2 linked regions of the Coturnix japonica genome follow. The protein of the gene in region 1 interacts with the protein of each later gene in a biochemical or structural test. Links are inferred from orthologs where the notes say so. Each region holds a gene or a part of one and is shown on either strand. Other genes may lie near its edges. The genes, in order: FERMT2 and ILK.

Region 1 (4,445 bases):
ACAGCTCCTATGCTGTAAGCAGGATTTTGCCCCGGACCTTTATAGGTCACCAAATAAATAGTGCTGCTCTTCAAACCTCAGCACTTCTTGCCCATTTTTCCGCCAAGCTCATGGCGCAGCTCAATTAACACAGTGCCTTCATCTGCCGGGCTGATGAATAACAGGGGAGCACGCAGGTCGCTGCAATGCACTCAGTAACCAGAATCCCCACCTGGGGGTTTCTCCAATCGCAACAGGCTTTAACTGCAAGCGGCCGGAACTGCAGGGAGGGAATGCATGGGGCTTGTGCTCAAAGCCAACAACTGCTTCCACCAATGTCAGGGGTCCATCAGGGTCAGCCCGACCCCAAATCCCCTGGGCTCAGCCTGGCCCCACATTCCAAGCTCCCCAATGGAAGAGCCCACGGAGGAGCCAAGTCTGGCCCACGGCAGCCGCCCCATCCATCTGCATCTCATCCATCCTCCACCAGAAACGTCAGCTTTGGGAAGTTTCCTTAAAACCCACAGCAAAAACAGAGAGAGAGGGATCAATCCTTCAGGAAACAATCACACTTTTTGCTTTTTTAACCACAGGGAGATGTTAAAACAGCAGAGCAGCCTTGGGATGGGGGAAAGCAGCACGGATTTGACTTATGGAAGCGAGGGCCGCGGGCTGCGCTGACAGCTGAGTGCAGAGCAGCAGAATCCCATTCCCGTGCTGCTGGCATTCCTTCCCCTTAATACAATGCCTAATTTAACCAGCACGGCGCGGGGACGTCTGACGTCAGCCTCTAATTCGGGTCCCCTGGGCAGCCCCGAGCAGAGCCCTCCATCAGGGGGTTGGTTTTTACCATTTCTAGAAAGCCATTGAGGTGGCTTCAGGGGTTTGGGTGGTTTTTTTTTCCCCTAGTGTTTTGTTCTGGGGTTTTGTTTTGCTCCCCAGTCACTCGGCCCGGCTTCAGGCTGAGCTTTCTGCAGCCCCAGCAGAAAAATAACACAGACATAAACGGGCTTTTGGAGCCGGGGCTGCCTCCAGCAGGAGATCCTTTGATCGAATGGTTGCCTCCCTTTAAGCCGACCCTATTCAGGTCCACCTCCCCCTTCCTTTAAGCCCAGGCAATTCCCAAATGACAACCGAAGCAGGACGCTGCTTTTCCAGCCACGCAAACATGTTGCATTGAAGCAGGACCCGCGGGCAGGGCTGACAGCACAGCTACTCCCACAGCCCCAGGCATGCGCCTGCAGTGCAACATTTCATGTTTTATCCCAGCAGTGACAGCAACCACCCCAACCCCACTGCTGGGTAAGCACACACAGAGCACAGCCAGAGGGCACGGACAGCCACCTCCACTAACGCTGACCATGCCCAGCTCCGCTCTGAGCAAACTCTGCTAATTAAATCTTTTTGTTAATGGCAGGACTTGCACCAAACAGCCCGAAGCAACGATATTTCTGAGCTCCGTGCAAACTGCAGCCAGCAGGACCCCGGGGTGATGGGAGTGGGTGTGGGGTGGGTGCTGCTGGGGGGCCGGGTGGAGCTCAGATTGGTGCAGGGACACCCTGGGGCACGCAGAGCTGGAACAGGGACTGGGGCAGCATGGAGCAGATGCTGGATATAGGCAGGGTGCTGGTCCAGGTGTATCACAGAATATCCTAAGCTGGATGGGACCCATAAGGATCGAGTTCAACTCCTGGTGCCAGACACGAGCGAGGTGCTGGGTGCTGCTTCCAGGCAGGGAGCTGGGTGCCAAAGCACAGCACTGGGTGCAGCCCTGAGGCTTCATGTTGGGAGCTGAGGAACAGTTTGGGGCAGAGCCCCGGCCGCGGGTGCAGGCAGGTGCTGGGCGCTAAAGCACAGCACTGGGGTGGGATGCTGGGGCAGCGCCCTGGGTGCAGCCCGCAGGCTGGATGCTAAAGCAAGACACCGCTGCAGGGTGCTGAGCGCCACAGCGAGTTATTGCACGGGGTGCTGGGTGTTAAGGCACAGCATCAGGGCTGAGCTGCGGGGCTGGGTGCAGGCAGGGCACCGGTGGTAGAGCAAAGCACCGGGGCAGGGTGCCGGGTGTCCAAGCCGGCTGAGGGGCAGGGCGGGGGATGTCGGGGCGCTGGATGCCGTGGCAGCGGCCCGGCGCTGGCTGCAGGCACAGTCCCGGGGCAGGATGCTGGGGCAGCGCGGCCGCCGGCACTCACCGAGCTTCTCAACGAGGCGCAGCATGACTCCCCCGATGTGGATCTCCCCGGTGACCCTCAGGGTGACGTCGCGGCCCAGGTCGGTGACATGGACGCTCAGCTCCCACGTCCCGTCGGCGTAGCAGCCGTCCGGCATGCGGATCCCGTCCAGCGCCATGGCCCCGGCCTCCTGCGCGCAGATACAGCGCTCAGAGCCGGCACGGCACGGCTCGGCACGGAGCGGAGCGGGGAGGGACGGACGGACGGAGCCCGGCGGGTGCGGGGGGGACAGCGCGGCCGCCCCCGAACCGCTGCCTGCGGGGCCGCCGTGGGGGGGGCGGGGGGAGAAGGGGCGGGCAGGGATGGGATGGGATGGGAGGAGGAGGAGGAGGGACGAAGGAGGAGGAGGGGGATAATTAAAGGAAAAACGCCCGGCGGCCCCTTGGCCTTTTATGGGAAAGAAGGACCGAGCGCAGCGGGGGCTGCTCCAACATCCGGGACTCGGCTCGCAGCGCTGCCCGTCGGGGGGCGGCCCCGCTTGTCCCGGAGCGGCTCGTGGGGCTGCTCCGAACCGGGCCGCGCTTCCAGCCCGGCTGGTGCCGGCTCTGGGTGTGTTTGTTCGTCCCGTTGGTAGAACACAAAGACAAAAGCCTCACCTTGGCGTCGTGGTTCATGGAGCCGAGGCCGGGCGATGCGCTGCCGCCCTCCATCCCGAGAGCTTAGGAAATGGGAACTGGCTGAACCGAGAGCCGGCACAAATAGCGAGAAAAACCCTCCTATTATCCGCTTCCTGCGGCTCCCCACCCAGTGATACATGTGTCCTGCTGAGGCAGCCCGGCTTCCTGACAGTCCGTGTGTGCAGGGAGCGGGGCGGTGGGCAGGATGTGGCCGGCAATGGCAGCGCGTCCCATGGAAGCCATCCCATACCCGTGGCTTTGGGGACAGCACGGTCCTCAGCTTCCTGTGTGCCCTTCATATATGGCTCCGGAGATGGATAATGAGTAGGGGAACAAAGACCTGATGGTGAAAGTGGTGGGGTCCCACCACTTCTTCCCTTTTGCTGTTTGATGGGATCCCCTTTCCCACAAGCATTAACGTTTAGCACACAAGGAGTGTGGAGGATTCAGGCTAGTGAGGCAGATGGTTGGACTAGGTGATCTCAGAGGTCTTTTACAATATTAATCCAACCCAAATCCTCCCTGGGCCTCACTCCTGGCCAGCAGAACCCCACTTCTGCCCCCAAACCTGGGAGCTGGAGCCCAGCTTGCAGGGTGCCAACAGGGGAACACCAGCCCTTAACAGCAGAGCTCTGTCAGATCCTATCTCAGTGTTGCTCCAATGCCAAACAATAGGGCCATACACAGAAAGGGTTACTCTGCTCTCCAGCCTTTTGGCCGAGCTTCCCAGCTGATGCAATGCATCACAGCCCTGCTCGGGCCGCCTTGTTTCACTCCAGCTGACTGCTGCTGGTTTCTCCTGCCCTGAGCACCACTTGCTGCTCCGTTTCCCCGCTCTCGTGGTGCTGGTGGCCGCACACACCGTCCCCAGGGTCCCCATCCCATGCTGTGGGTGTGCGCGGAGGCGGGCGGCCGCATCACCAATGTGCTGCTGAGATTTGAGGCCAGGTCAGACATGCACGGCGTGGGCTCATGCGTCAGAAGCAGCCAAGCATCCCCAGCTCTTCCCACTGCTTGCCAGAGCTCCGTGCTCCCTCCATGCAGCCATAGCCAAATAAGGTGCCGCAGCGCACGGCCGCTTCCATCGGGATGGAGGTGATGCCCAGCAAAGCTGCTGCCGTCCTTCTGCCTTTCCCAAGAAACAACTCAATGGACATCAGGATGAGTCTATCTTTGTGAAACCCATTTTTGCCTTTTCTTTTAGAGCTCACTTGTAGTTTGAGTTTTAATATTTAACTCTGTGCACTCAGCTCTCTTTCCCACCTCGCCGCAGTGGAGCCGGTCAGACTGGCTCCCTCCAGGCTGGCTGAAATCTGTGCTCTGAGCTCCGCAGGGTGATGGGAGCAGCAGGAGGAGAAAAAGGGAAACATTTCCCAGCATTTCCTCCCTGCTCACCTGGGCATTTTCCCCGTGCATCCCCATCTCCTTCAGCCTGTTGGATGTAGCCGGGGTTCTTTCCCACAGATGGTCATTTCCGAGCAGAGACAAGGTCACACTCCTGGCAAGGGAAGTGCTCTGGGTAGCTCCGCTTCCTGGTTTATTCCCGGCCACATTCGTTCGTTCCCGGCTTTGCCATGTTGGAAATGCCCATGTGAAGCAGCTTTGTCATTTCTCTGAATGC
Region 2 (4,583 bases), on another chromosome or scaffold:
AGAAGAGAAGGCTGCGGGGTGACCTCAGTGCAGCCTGCCAGGACCTGAAGGGAGCCTACAGACAGGAGGGGAGTCAGCTCTGTGAAAGGGCAGATAACAGCAGGACAAGGGGAAATGGTTTGGAGTTGAAGGGCAGATTGAGGTTGGATGTCAGGGGATGTTGTTTACAGAGAGTGTTGAGGTGCTGGAACAGCTGCCCAGAGAGGCTGTGGATGCCCCGTCCATCCCTGGAGGTGTTCAAGGCCAGCTTGGATGGGGCCCTGGGCAGCCTGGGCTGGTATCAATGTGGAGGTTGGTGGCCCTGTGTGTGATGTGGGGTTGGAGCTCCATGATCCCGGGGTTCCCTTCCATCCCAGCCCATTCTATAGCTGTATTTCTCACCGCTGCCGCAGCCGTTGGATGATGGAATCCACCGGGTTCTGCGGCCACCGCTGGACCTGCAGCGCGAAGCCGCGGTGGTAGATGTGAAACGCCTCGGGGTCGCTCCGGAACAGCTCGACGGCGTCGCGGCTGGTGCCGGTGTACAACCGCTCGTTGATGTACCGGAACCGCGCGGCCAGCAGCCGCTCCTCCATGCGGGCCCGCAGCGCCGCCGACCGCCCCGTGGGAACCGCGTCCGGTTCGGGCGGTTCGGGTTCGGTCGGTTCGGGCTCATCCCGCCCGGTGCAGCCGCCCCCGGCCCCGTTCTGCTCCGCTTTCAGCTTCTCCGCCTTCAGCTTCTCCTGCCGCCGTTTGTTTTTCTGTTTATTCCGCCACTGTTTCCTGCTCAGTCTCGGTGCCGCAGCTCCGGAGCCTCCCGCCCCCCCCGCGGGCTGCACGTTCCTTCGGGGCGGTTCCGCGGTGACCCGGGGCGGCAGCTCCGCCTCGTTCCCCGCGTTGCCGCCTCCGTCCCGGGGCTGCGGTTCCTCCGGAGCCGCCTCCGCCGCGGTTCGGTCCCTCTCGGTTCTCACGCGCTTCCCGGGCCGCTTTCGAGCCTCTTCGCCGTCCCGTCCCGGTCCCGGTCCCGGTCCCGCCGCCTGCAGCCGCCGCAACGTGGCCACGAGGCGCTGCCGCCGCTTCCGCTGCATCGCGGCGCTGACCTGCGGGACCGGAGCAACGTCAGTCCCGCAGCCGGGGCTCGGCCCGGTTCGTTCCCCCTCCCCTTACCGGCGGCTCAGAACCTTTGGCATCAGCACGAAGCTCCGGCACGGCCCGAGGCAGCGCCAGCCCGTCCGCGCCCTCGTCCCACTCCTCCACCTCGAACATCGCCACGGCGGCGACGGGACCGAGCGGAACCGGCACGGACCGAACCCAGCGCCCGGACCCCACGTGCACCGGCGGCCGGAGCAGCCCCGGGCACACGAGGCAGCGCCCCGTGCGGAGCGGAGGGTGAACGGCAGCGACCGGCACCGCCCAGAGCCCCTCGGCCCCTCCCCCCGGTTCCTCCCCCCGGTTCTCCCCGCCCTCGTTCCCCGCCCATCTCCGCTCCGTTCCCGCACCGCCCCTTGTCGTTCCCGCCGGTTCCTCCGCCGTGCGGGGCCGGCAGGGGGCGCTGCGTGCGGCCGGGGCGGAGCCACGCACAGCCCCGCACAGCCACCGCCCTGCGCCGCCGGAGCCGGTAAGGGCGGCGGGCCGGGCCGGGCCGTGCGGGCGGAGCTCGAGATCAGAGCGGGCCGGGAGCGGCGGCCGAGGGCGCGGGGAGGAGCGGGGCGGAGATGGAGGCGGCTGCGGGGCTGCGCGGCGCGGAGCGGGGACGGCGCGGGGCCGGGGGCGGAGCGGCAGCGTCGGGACGGGCGGCGGGAGCGGGGTCCGTGTGCGGGGTCCGTATGTTGCGGGGGGACCCGGGGCCGCGGCCCGTCGCGGTGGATCCCGCTGAGCTCAGCCCCGCATCCCTCCCGTTGCGGGGCCGCCCTGGGGCTGCGCGGCCGCTGCCGTCGGGGCCGAGGAGCGGAACCGGCCGGGAGCAGCGGGCGGACGGGACGCGGAGCCGCGGGGCGGTGCGGGGTCTCCTCCCGCACTGATCCCCGCCGCTCCCCCCGGCCGCGGCCCCGAGTGCGGGTTGCAGATAACGCAGGTAACGCTGCGGGCTCCGCGCTGTTTCCTGCTGTTGGCCGCGGGCACCCGCGACACTGCGGACATTGCGGCCCCCCCGAGCAGTGCGGGACCGTCGGGCCTCGCGGGGCCTCGCCCTCACCCCGCGCTCCCCGCAGCCCCAGCCGCGATGGATGACATCTTCACGCAGTGCCGGGAGGGCAACGCGGTGGCCGTGCGGCTGTGGTTGGACAACACCGAGAATGACCTCAACCAGGGGTGAGCGGGGGGGCGGGGGATGCTCCGGGGCTCGTTTCCGCCCCGTGTCCGTGGGGGGGGGGGCGGTGGGATGCGGCTCCTCCCCGCCGGAGGAAGTTACCGCATCGCTGAGGCATGAGCGCCAAACATCCTCCGTCCGCCCCCTCGGACACCGCCGTTGTCCCGGTGTCCGGCCGTGGGTTGGGGGGGGGGCGTTGGGAGGAGCCTCCCCCCAAAGGGGGCTGCAGGGCGAGGTGACCTCAAGTAACCCCTGACCCCAGGGGCACCGCTGTGCCCTCCCGTCCCCCAGAGCTGGGCTGGGCTGGGCTGTATCCCCGGGGCTGCTATTGCTTGATATGGGCTGTTATTGGTTGTTATGGGGTATTATTGGTTGTTATGGGGTATTATTGGTTGTTATGGGGTATTATTGCTTGTTATGGGGTATTATTGGTTGTTATGGGGTATTATTGGTTGTTATGGGGTGTTCGGCTCCAGCCCAGCGCTGTGTGCCACGGGAACGGTGCTGGCAGTGCACTGGATGGCCCCGGTTCTGCTGGAGCTGAGGGCAGTGGGGCTGCTATATCCCCATCCCCATCCCCATCCCCATCCCCATCCCCGCCTACTGGGCCCTAATCTCCTTTTAAGGCCCGGCTGCCGCCTCCTCCCTTACTTGGCCAGGCACGGCTGCGAGCAGATGGGGGGGGCATGGGGGGGCTCCTGGTCCTCAGCAGCCTCTGCTGCTCCAGCCATGAGGACGATGGAACGTGGTCGGGGCCCTCCTGGGGGTGGGCAGAGCAGGGGCAGCACTTGGGCTGCTCCTCACAGCATGGCAGGGTGCAGCGTGGCTTTGGGGCTGTGTGGCTGCTGCTGTTGGGTGCTGAGCAGTGGGAGCAGAACTCACCTCCCTGCCCTTGGGGCTGCAGCATCCCTTGGGCTCGGAGCTGTGCCTCACTCAGCCAGGCCAGGAGCTGAGGGGCCCGTGGAGCTGCAGGATGGTATGGGGTCTCCTCCAGTGCTATTCCCCAGTGCTCCCCTGAGATACAGCCCTGCGTGCTCCCAGCACATCCTCACCGCTGTCCCCTCAGGGATGACCACGGCTTCAGCCCCCTGCACTGGGCCTGTCGCGAGGGCCGCTCCAACGTGGTGGACATGCTGATCATGCGCGGAGCGCGCATCAACGTCATGAACCGCGGCGACGACACCCCGCTGCACCTGGCGGCCAGCCACGGCCACCGCGACATCGTGCAGAAGGTACCAGCTCCCCAAACACTGCACAGCCACAGTCAGACTCACTGTGCCCAGCAGGCCCTGCCCCACTGCTCCCTGCCCCACTGCTCCCTGCCCCACTGCTCCCTGCCCCCTCCATGCACTCACTGCACCCACCTCTGGGTGCTCCCACCATCCCCTCGCAGCCTTCAGCCCCTTCCTATCAGCAGCCCCTGCTGTGAGTGCATTCCCCCCCCCTCAGTGCACTGGAAGGGACCCACTCTGGGCTCACCAGGACTGTCCTGCCTGCAGCTGATCCAGTTCAAAGCGGACATCAACGCGGTGAATGAGCACGGGAACACCCCTCTGCACTACGCCTGCTTCTGGGGACACGACACGGTGGCAGAGGTGAGAGCAGCACCTGGATACAGGAGCACAGGGGATGGCAGGGGGGAGGCTGGGTGTGTAGGAAGGGGCTGAGAAAACAGCAGCAGCTGTGGGTGCTCAATTTCTTCTTCCTCAGGACCTCGTGGGTAACGGGGCCTTGGTCAGCATTGCCAACAAATACAGCGAGACGCCCATTGACAAAGCCAAGATGCCTCTGCGGGAGATCCTGAAAGGTAGGAGGCTCCCACCTGCACCCAGTCCCTGCCTCTGGCTGCTGCAGCCCTGAAGCTCAGCACCATGGGCTGCTTCGCTGTCCAACTCTTCATTTGCTTCCAGAGCATGCAGAGAAGCTGGGCCAGAACCTGACCAAGATCCCCTACAAAGACACCTTCTGGAAGGGCACGACCCGCACGCGGCCCCGTAAGGACAGAGGCTTCCTGCAGAGCTGGGGGCACGGATCTGTGTGCTGGGGTGGAACTCAGGGCTGAGGGGCAGCGCTTGGCACAGCACGTGGCTCAGTGGGGCAAGGGAGGCTCCCTTAGTGCAGTGCCTTTGCACACAATGCTGGTGCTGCTCCTCCTGCAGCCCCCAGACAGGAGGAAAGTCCCATGCAATCCTTTCTTCTTACAGGAAATGGGACCCTCAACAAACTTGCTGGAATAGACTACAAACAGCTGAGCTTGAGCCAGAAACTCAATGAGAACCAATCAGGAGAGGTATGG

What was found.
Region 2: the proteins of FERMT2 (region 1) and ILK form a complex in vitro, tested with the Homo sapiens proteins (2 studies listed by BioGRID). The link is inferred for Coturnix japonica from reciprocal best matches to the Homo sapiens genes FERMT2 and ILK.

The regions. Positions count from the first base shown.
Region 1 is NC_029520.1:52,895,196-52,899,640, forward strand, and holds the start of FERMT2 (fermitin family homolog 2), read right to left. Parts: upstream 2,888-4,445; 5' UTR 2,858-2,887; coding exon 2,804-2,857; intron 2,338-2,803; coding exon 2,169-2,337; intron 1-2,168. UniProt on the Homo sapiens protein: Scaffolding protein that enhances integrin activation mediated by TLN1 and/or TLN2, but activates integrins only weakly by itself. Binds to membranes enriched in phosphoinositides.
Region 2 is NC_029516.1:173,992,433-173,997,015, reverse strand, and holds the start of ILK (integrin-linked protein kinase), read left to right. Parts: upstream 1-1,597; intron 1,598-2,189; coding exon of another isoform or gene 2,190-2,200; coding exon 2,201-2,289; intron 2,290-3,353; coding exon 3,354-3,519; intron 3,520-3,786; coding exon 3,787-3,882; intron 3,883-3,997; coding exon 3,998-4,094; intron 4,095-4,197; coding exon 4,198-4,281; intron 4,282-4,491; coding exon 4,492-4,577; intron 4,578-4,583. Other genes in the region: RRP8 (ribosomal RNA-processing protein 8), read right to left, coding at 382-1,079, 1,161-1,597, 2,190-2,211. UniProt on the Homo sapiens protein: Scaffold protein which mediates protein-protein interactions during a range of cellular events including focal adhesion assembly, cell adhesion and cell migration.